Linked DNA regions of Saccharomyces cerevisiae S288C. Each later gene encodes a partner of the first gene's protein in a complex. Each region holds a gene or a part of one and is shown in the gene's direction. Other genes may lie near its edges.

The links.
Region 2: MRPS8 (region 1) and MRPS5 share a complex: the UniProt entries of both Saccharomyces cerevisiae proteins name them as parts of the mitochondrial small ribosomal subunit.
Region 3: MRPS8 (region 1) and MRP51 share a complex: the UniProt entries of both Saccharomyces cerevisiae proteins name them as parts of the mitochondrial small ribosomal subunit.

Annotation. Positions count from the first base shown.
Region 1 is NC_001145.3:570,589-573,215, forward strand, and holds MRPS8 (mitochondrial 37S ribosomal protein uS8m MRPS8), read left to right. Parts: upstream 1-1,659; coding exon 1,660-2,127; downstream 2,128-2,627. Other genes in the region: TPP1 (polynucleotide 3'-phosphatase), read right to left, coding at 1-428; AIM36 (Aim36p), read right to left, coding at 689-1,456; YMR158C-A (uncharacterized protein), read right to left, coding at 2,606-2,627. UniProt on the Saccharomyces cerevisiae protein: Component of the mitochondrial ribosome (mitoribosome), a dedicated translation machinery responsible for the synthesis of mitochondrial genome-encoded proteins, including at least some of the essential transmembrane subunits of the mitochondrial respiratory chain.
Region 2 is NC_001134.8:719,527-722,813, forward strand, and holds MRPS5 (mitochondrial 37S ribosomal protein uS5m MRPS5), read left to right. Parts: upstream 1-1,863; coding exon 1,864-2,787; downstream 2,788-3,287. Other genes in the region: SPO23 (Spo23p), read left to right, coding at 1-1,078; DUT1 (bifunctional dITP/dUTP diphosphatase), read left to right, coding at 3,085-3,287. UniProt on the Saccharomyces cerevisiae protein: Component of the mitochondrial ribosome (mitoribosome), a dedicated translation machinery responsible for the synthesis of mitochondrial genome-encoded proteins, including at least some of the essential transmembrane subunits of the mitochondrial respiratory chain.
Region 3 is NC_001148.4:324,980-328,162, forward strand, and holds MRP51 (mitochondrial 37S ribosomal protein bS1m MRP51), read left to right. Parts: upstream 1-1,648; coding exon 1,649-2,683; downstream 2,684-3,183. Other genes in the region: putative DEAD-box ATP-dependent RNA helicase DBP1, read right to left, coding at 1-1,285; isopentenyl-diphosphate delta-isomerase IDI1, read right to left, coding at 2,885-3,183. UniProt on the Saccharomyces cerevisiae protein: Component of the mitochondrial ribosome (mitoribosome), a dedicated translation machinery responsible for the synthesis of mitochondrial genome-encoded proteins, including at least some of the essential transmembrane subunits of the mitochondrial respiratory chain.

The DNA of each region.
Region 1 (2,627 bases):
GCAAAAGTTTTCGGCCTTTTAGGTGCTGCATATAGCCATAACCTGTGTGATAACGTTTCTCCTCTCTCATCGTTTTTGATTGCCTTTAAAAATAGCAAAATTTTATTAGTGTACTTGGTGCAACTTTTAGAAGTTCTTGGGACGGTGATGACACCACCTTGGTTAGAAAATATGACTATGACGGCCGTGGGATCATTATCAATGATATTACACAGGTAATCCAGGGTGGATTTCTTGGAGTTAAAATTAATAAACTGCCAATCACTTGCGCTTCTACTAAAACTTATATTGGGGGACTTTGGTTTGATAATTGTATGGTCCAGATCAAAGGCATAAACGTTTAGACCATGCTCGTCGTGATCAATGGATTGTGGAAACTTGGGCGTGAACTTAATCAGAAATGGCAGGATTGTTAATTTGTGGGACATGGGCTTTCCTTCGGTTCAGTTTTCTATGTTATCCATCTGATTTTGGGATGATTTTACAGATTAAAATCGATTTAAAGCCATACGCAAAAGAGGGGAAACGAAAGAAACGCACAGAATTCATTCACATAGATGAAGGGAACAGAAAATGAGAATGTTATATGACAGATAAGCAGCATATTCAGGACATATATCCAGATATATATACATATAAGCTATTAACAAGGAGAAGAAACCAAAAAAAAAAAAAAAAGAAAACATCCTCAGATGATATCAGCTTTACCTACAGTTTCGTAATATTTACAGACGTCAGAGCCACTCAATTTCCTCGGAACAAAGATTTTAGACACTATAGAAACCTCATTTTCAAATCTTGTTGCATCAGCAATCGAATGAGGAAAGTTCACAACTACTAGCTTGTCACCGGTCTTGAAGTTCTCTTTGAAATATCTACCCAAAAGCATGACCAACATACCGGTCGGCAAATTGTAAGCGTACGTGTCACACCCGTATTTTTTGTAGTATTCATTTAATAAAGCCTCATATCTATCATCCCTCAAGGTTCTGTAGTAATCGATGACCTTGACTGGATCGACAAACTGCAGCTCATTTATATCATCGCCTTGTGATTTCTGCAGTACCTTTCTAGTTTCTTCAATGCTGGGTGATAAGGAAAACTTTATATCGACCTCACCTTGTGGGAAGATAGCCACACGTCTTTTCAACCCTTTAACCACATTTTCGAATTCTTCTTCTGATAATGTTGTCTTCGGTTTGTTCTTATCTAAAGACTGTACTGTCTTGACAAATATCACTGTACCGATAATAGCAACAAGGAAAATTTTCTTAAATCCTGGAGCATCTATTTTATCTGATTTGTTAGACCTTTTAGTTGAGCTATCAGTTGATGAGTATCGTGCTCTCAAGAGCAATGGTGAAAATAAGGGTAATTGCTTTTGAGGCAACCCACCGCACACCTTGAAACAATGTCGGCAGCTTGCTAGAACGCTTTTTCTCAGTGGTCGCAACATGTAGGTAGTCTATTTATCTGGGCTCGTTATGTATTAATCTTCCTATGGGGATTCATTCATTTTAGCTTTACCGGCAGTCCTTACAAACCGCTTTTTGAAATTAAATCGACAAACTGAGGAAGAAGAACGGAAAAACAGAAGAAAGCCAAAGGCAAAGAAGCGACCACATACACCTTTTTTTCGATCTAAACTAATCGCCCAAAATGTCGTTGGTCAAACTTGCGAATACGTGTGCTCATTTACAGAACTGCTCGAAAGTTAGAGTTGCCTTAACATCGATCCCATATACGAAATTGCAGCTACAGTTTGCGTATAACCTTTACCAACAAGGGTTCTTATCGTCTTTACAGAAGGGATCGACTATGGGACCAGACAAAGATTTTGTTGAAGTAACACCAGACAATATCTCTACTAGAAGGCTTTGGGTTGGATTGAAGTATAGAGATAACAAACCTGTCCTCAGCAGCTGCAAATTAATTTCCAAACCAAATTCAAGAATACACCTGCCAATGGAAGACATGAAGAAACTATGCTCTGGCGTAACTATTAGAAACATCAAACCACTACAACCAGGAGAACTGATTCTAGTTCGAGCTCATAACAACATTATGGACATTAATGAAGCCATATCCAAAAAGTTGGATGGAGAAGTACTATGCAGAGTAAAATGAATAGAACAATCACATATGACCGTATTTATACGTGTAATTAAAAAATATACGGACCATGTAAATAATAATATTATAAAATGCAGACAATGATGATGAGTATAGTACTACAGTAACGTCCTTCATTCATTACCTTTACTAGCAGTGATAAAAAGTTTTGAAAAAAAATGTGCTCCAGGGGAGGTTCGAACTCTCGACCTTCAGATTATGAGACTGACGCTCTTCCTACTGAGCTACTGAAGCTGTCTGTTATGGAGGATTCTAGCATTAAATGCTTTAATACTCAATAAAAGCAACAATGGAGAATAATTTATCAGCAACTAAATTTATAGACGAAGATCCTACGCCAAATCTTAGCTCCTTTATATTTAATATTGAAAAACATATGAATTTTAGGTTGAATCCTCAAAATGGAATTGATATTTCTACATAATAGTACTACGATTATTCTTCACTCTGTTTTATATGTGTCATTATGTTATTACATTATCAATCCTTGCATT
Region 2 (3,287 bases), on another chromosome or scaffold:
AATCACTTCCCATTCAATTTCTTTAAAATGTTTCACAAAGGAATATGCATGCTTTGTAAATTCAGAAACTAGCAAAAACTCCTATAGTGACAAAATTATCAAAGAACTTAATCACACAGAGTTTTTTGAGTCTTCCACCTACCCCAAACAGCAGTTGAGAGTCATACACCACTCATTAAATGATAAGAAAATTCTATTGACAAAGGGCACGTACGATTACCCATTCACTTTTACCCTTCAAGCAAATACTTTCCCAGCAAGTTTCTCTTCCTTCTTTGGCAAGACCCATTTTCGAATAGAAAGCTTAACAACAATAATGAGAATACCAAGTAAACCTAAAAACTTACTCAAATTTTTGAAGAATGAAAGTTTTACAGATAAGATCATTTTAACAGAAGAAATTAAAGTTAAAAGAGTCCTGCCTTCAACGAGTATGCTTAAGTTTGAAACATTTCAATTAAGGTCATACAATACTGCAAGTGAGATCGTAGTATCGGTCATTGGAAACTCCAAGTTGATTGAAATTGGTATGCCTTTCCAAATGATATTATCAATTACCAAAACAGATTCTTCCATTGAATTACAGGAAGCTTCTTTGGCAGTTGCACAGAGAATGGCAATACCAAGTATTGATTTGAAGACCAAGAAAATACTACGAGAGCCATACATTAAAAAGTCCGAGTATTTACTAAGAACTGTAGAAAGCCAAAGTTTCGATTCCGACAAGACCATTTTCGGATTTTGCTTTGATGACGTTGTCATCCCAACCTATGCGGATGGTCTACCGAGCTGGTTTAAAACATTCTACTGTGAACCAAGTTCATTTTATCCCAATCATGCTGCCCTCAAAGTAACTCATTTGCTTTTGTTCAGAATAACCTATAGCAGGAATGAATTGGTGGAAGGGCTTGAAATGAAAAAAAATTATCGTATTACGGTGAATTTTCCAATTTTAGTTGGCGATAGTGATATTTCGACCAGCTCTTTGTTACCCAAATATGAAAAATTTGAAAATATTAGTGATCTACAAGATGAACCCCCACTATATTCTATGGTAGCAGGTGAGAATAGCTTATGAATGTTCGGTACCTCAGAACAACGCCTCTATTTTATCCTTTTTTTTTTTATTTGCATGATATACATATACTATTTTTTATTAGTTTCTTATTCTACTATGTATTTACGTAACAATAAATTTACAGGTCTCTCTTTTTGTAAGTATCTTGCACGCTGATATCTATAATACTACTTCACAAGTTGATCAGCTTCCGAGATAGACATTTTATGTATCAAGTCGCCATGTCCGTTCTCTACTGGCCGGTGTATATTATGATATTTCGACCGGTTCTAATACATAAGCACCGCCCACTCTGAGGAGAAGACATTTTTACAAGAATTACTAGCCATATTTTCCCTTGTCAAATTAGAGAAGGAAAAATTACTTGAAACATCCCGTGTTTGGGCACTAAAAGTATATCAATAGGAGCTGAAGAACACTACACTAGACTCTCTTGGCGTGAAGGCCTTATTATGTGAACTTTCGTAGGTTTGACTTTTACTACCAGTATGAAAAAGGTTAGAGTTTATTCAATCAAATGGAAAAGTTTTACAACTGAGCTAGTGATCTCCAAATGAGGTAGCAAGTAACAGTCGTATGTATCCCATACATTTATGTATCCCATATATTTCATTACATGGTGATGCTTTCTTTTATTCGCGGAGTAAAGTTCCTTAAAGTGAAAAAAAAAAAAAGACGAATTGACAAGACAATAATACAAGCACCACTAAAAGACCTATCGTTATTGTTGTCAAAGTAGACGGTAAACCATACAAGAAACAGATTTCATAGATCAATAGGTAAAGATGTTCAAGAGGCAATTATCGACTAGTGTTCGTTATCTACAGCATTATGATGAGTCGCTATTATCAAGGTACTATCCTGAAAGTCTTTTAAAATCCATAAAACTTGCTCAACAAACGATACCAGAAGATACTAAATTCAGAGTATCTCGTAACGTGGAATTCGCACCACCATATTTGGATGATTTTACCAAAATACATCCTTTTTGGGATTACAAACCAGGCATGCCCCATCTCCACGCTCAAGAGGAGAATAATAACTTCAGCATCTTTAGATGGGACCAGGTACAACAACCATTACCAGGCGAAGGTAACATTCTGCCTCCAGGAGTCAGCTTACCAAACGATGGTGGTCGGAAATCGAAAAGCGCCGATGTAGCTGCAGGGCTACACAAGCAAACCGGTGTAGATCCGGATTATATCACTAGAAAGTTGACTATGAAGCCGCTGGTGATGAAAAGAGTGTCAAATCAGACTGGGAAGGGTAAAATTGCGTCTTTCTATGCCTTGGTTGTCGTTGGTGACAAAAACGGTATGGTAGGTTTGGGAGAAGGTAAATCTCGTGAAGAAATGTCCAAAGCGATCTTTAAAGCTCATTGGGATGCGGTAAGGAACCTGAAGGAAATACCTAGGTATGAAAACAGAACTATTTATGGTGATATAGATTTTAGGTATCATGGTGTGAAACTACATTTAAGAAGTGCAAAACCAGGGTTTGGATTACGTGTAAACCATGTAATCTTTGAGATTTGTGAATGTGCAGGTATCAAAGATCTGAGTGGGAAAGTATATAAATCCAGAAACGATATGAATATAGCTAAAGGTACCATCGAGGCTTTCACGAAAGCTCAAAAGACATTGGATGAGGTTGCCCTGGGTAGAGGCAAAAAGCTTGTTGATGTCAGGAAAGTTTACTATTCAAGCTGAAATACTATGTACATACACACGCACCATTATCTCTCGTTTTACATAAGTAAATACAGCAATAATAATACCTGTAAATATCTCAACATACTCAATCAAATGAGCTGATAAGCATATTCAATTTTTCTTCATAGCAATATTTTTTTCTGTCCAAGTTTTATTTTTTTTCCATAATTTCTGATTTACTACCATTGAAAATTATAAAAGGAAAAATATTACGCGCTACCATTTAATAAGTAGAAACAACTAAGTTCTCGAATGAGATGTTTGCACTGATACAGCGAGCCAAAAAATAACCAAATGACTGCTACTAGCGACAAAGTACTAAAGATTCAATTGCGCTCAGCAAGCGCTACTGTACCTACCAAAGGTTCTGCCACTGCCGCGGGATACGACATTTATGCATCTCAGGATATTACCATTCCGGCTATGGGTCAAGGTATGGTTTCCACCGACATATCGTTCACCGTACCTGTTGGTACCTACGGTCGTATTGCGCCAAG
Region 3 (3,183 bases), on another chromosome or scaffold:
CTGTGAGTTGATCCGCCATTCTTTTCGTTTCAACAAAAATCAATGTCAATCCCTTATGCTCTGCAGACAGTAAATCTAACAACGCAGACTTTTTGTCCATGTCATCGACATATAATATTCTTTGCGTGATATTTTCTGAGGTGGAACCGACTCTTCCTACTGATAAAAAAATATAATTATCTAAGAAATCGCGTGCCAAATGCTGGATATCTACTGGGAATGTGGCGGAAAACATCAAGGTCTGTCTATTTTCCACAGAGGGCATATCACATTCTTCAACTATATGGCGAATTTGGGGTTCGAATCCCATATCTAGCATTCTATCAGCCTCATCCAATACCAGGTATTTGATATTAGCCAAAGAAACTTTTCCGCGTTCTAATAAGTCATTCAGCCGCCCTGGTGTAGCCACCAATAAGTCACAGCCGCGGTCAACCTCCCTCATCTGGTTACCGATTGGCGCGCCACCATAAACAACGCATGGCCTAACCCAAGATCTATACGTAAATTTTCTTGCTTCTTCAAAAATTTGGGTAGCCAATTCTCTAGTTGGTGCAAGTACTAAAGCAGATGGATATCCCTTTCTAGAATAAAAGCTCTGTGCTTTCTCGGGTACTGGAGAGGGCCCAGACCTGAATAGCTCCGTGAAGAGCGGAAACAAAAACCCACCTGTCTTACCTGAGCCCGTTTGTGCGCATGCCATCAAATCCCTACCTTTGGTAACTATTGGAATAGAATATTTTTGTACTGGAGTAGGTTTGGTGAAACTAGCAAGTTTGATATTTTCCATTAACAGCTCATCCAGAGGGGGAGAACTAAAATCTAGTATAGGTTCAGGAACATCTTTTCCAGATGCATCTACGGGAATATTATCGTAATTATCAAACTTTATACCAGATGAATGGTAATCGGGATCGTCGTGTACACCAAACAGTTCGGCTTCTAATTTCGCGTTCTTAGGCCCCGGTATATGCTTGCCATTTACCCATCTATTTCCAGATGATTTGTAATTTGAGCTGCCTCCGCGGTTATAGTTCGCACTCGTCCCTCCATTTCTTTCCTTAGAAAAGCCAAAAAACCCGCCATTGTTCCCAGTTTGCCTTCCAGCACGTCTGAAAAAATCACCACCCGTAACCTTATCTTCCTGTTTTGGGGTACTTCTTTCGAATGATGGTTTTCCTCTACTTCTCAAGTGCGGTGGGACATAAGATGATTTGCCGCCACCACCACCATTCTCTTTGTTGTTGATGCTTAAATTAGATACCTTCTGTGGCAAGTCTGCCATTTTTTCTTGTAATACTTTCACTCAAAGGGGTTTTTCTTAAAATATCCTTTAACTGACACTACCGATATCTTTTATAATCATGAATAATCCTTGTTATAAAATAAAGGCATTACTTCAGAGATGACCTTAAGTAACCTTCCCTTAAAATTGTTAAAGAACTCGCGGGGTAATATTTACGTTGACAGTGATATTTGTTTTGAGAAATCAAAGAATGAAGAACTTAGATGTAGAGTTAAAGGAGCAATACGAATAGGTGCCGTGATGAAGAAAAAAAATCATACAGACATTTGCTACAACCCTTGGTGAGACTGTTTCGATCATTTTTCTTTTTCTTTTTCTTTATTTTAGAAAAAATTGAACGAAATGACATTGGCAGAGTTGCTTGGACGGTCGAGAATAGCTCAAGTAGCTAACAATCATAAACCATTGACATACACTGGCAAAAAATTTCATCCAACACATCAAATCATCGAAACTAAGCCATCGACACTATACAGACAAGAATGGGGGTTGAAATCCGCTATTCCTTCGAAAATTAAATCTCGATATTTGGTGTACAACGATTTGGATACGTTGGAAAGAATTACCACATTCGAACCTAGAGGCGGTACGCAATGGAATAGGCTAAGATTTCAAGAAATGGGAGTACCAATTGTGTCTAATATAGGCAGACAAAATCCATTTTTCAAGTACATATCTCGTCCTGAGGATGAGTCTCATGCTAAATTGTCCTTATTCAAAGAAATGAAAGGAGATACAGATATTTCGCCTGCTGCTATGAAGAAGCGTTTGAAGAAGATAACAGCACTAATTAGATCGTTTCAAGATGAATTTAAAGAGTGGCTGGTGGAAAATCATCCGGATGAATTGAAATTGAATTCTAATAAGCTGGAAGACTATGTAGTGAAGTTTCTAAACAAAAAGTTGGAAACAAAAACGAATAAAAAATTTAACACTGAAATCATTGGTACAGGTGGATTATCATACAGCTTGCCAGGAAAGCTAAAAAACTCACCAAATGGTGTCATTCAAAGGACTGTAGTACCCGGTAGAATCTTGAACGTTGTTAAGGAGAACAACGACAATAAATGGCTGGCAGCTATTGGTGGGTTTGTGGCCGATGTGGTATTTTTCCAATCACCACCTAGTTCCTTTAACTCCATGGGAGATTTCATCAGAATGAAAACGTTCTTGTTCGAGATCTTGGAGGCATCTATGGAGAAAAATGGTTCTGTTTCGATGCACGCTAGATTACTCGAACCACAAAATGACAAGACCAGAGAATTTTTCAATAAGAGACCAATTTATAAACCATTGACCTCTAGAAGGGCACGTCGACCATCAGTGGGAAACATTCAAGAGGCCAATAACCTTTTGAATATAATCAAGGGAAATTGAGAAGAGAAAAAAAAAATGTGAACAATCAATGTATATTCAGAGTTCTGTAAATAAATAAAGAAAATAAAGTTTACATATTACTAAGGATTTTTGTCGCCTATTTTTACTATTTTTCAGGTGAAATGAAACGTTTTATATCACATTTTGCTATGATAACAAAGTTATTATGATTTTTATGTAGCCTATATTATTGACGCGTTGTTATAGCATTCTATGAATTTGCCTGTCATTTTCCACTTCAGAAAGGTCATCTAATTGCTCCCACCAGTTGAATAAGTAATTCTCGCAAATAATCTTAAACCAAGGCGTAAACTTGTAACTTGGGTCAGCAAACATAGTTTTCAAATCATTTGGTGAAACCCATTTGAAGTCTCTAACTTCATTGACGTTTGGGTTGACAGTCAAGTTTTCTTTAGCGTTGATCTTATAAAATAGGATGTAATCAATTTCATGTTCACCCCATGGTTCATTGCTTGGTGCCATGTAATGGATTCTGTTTA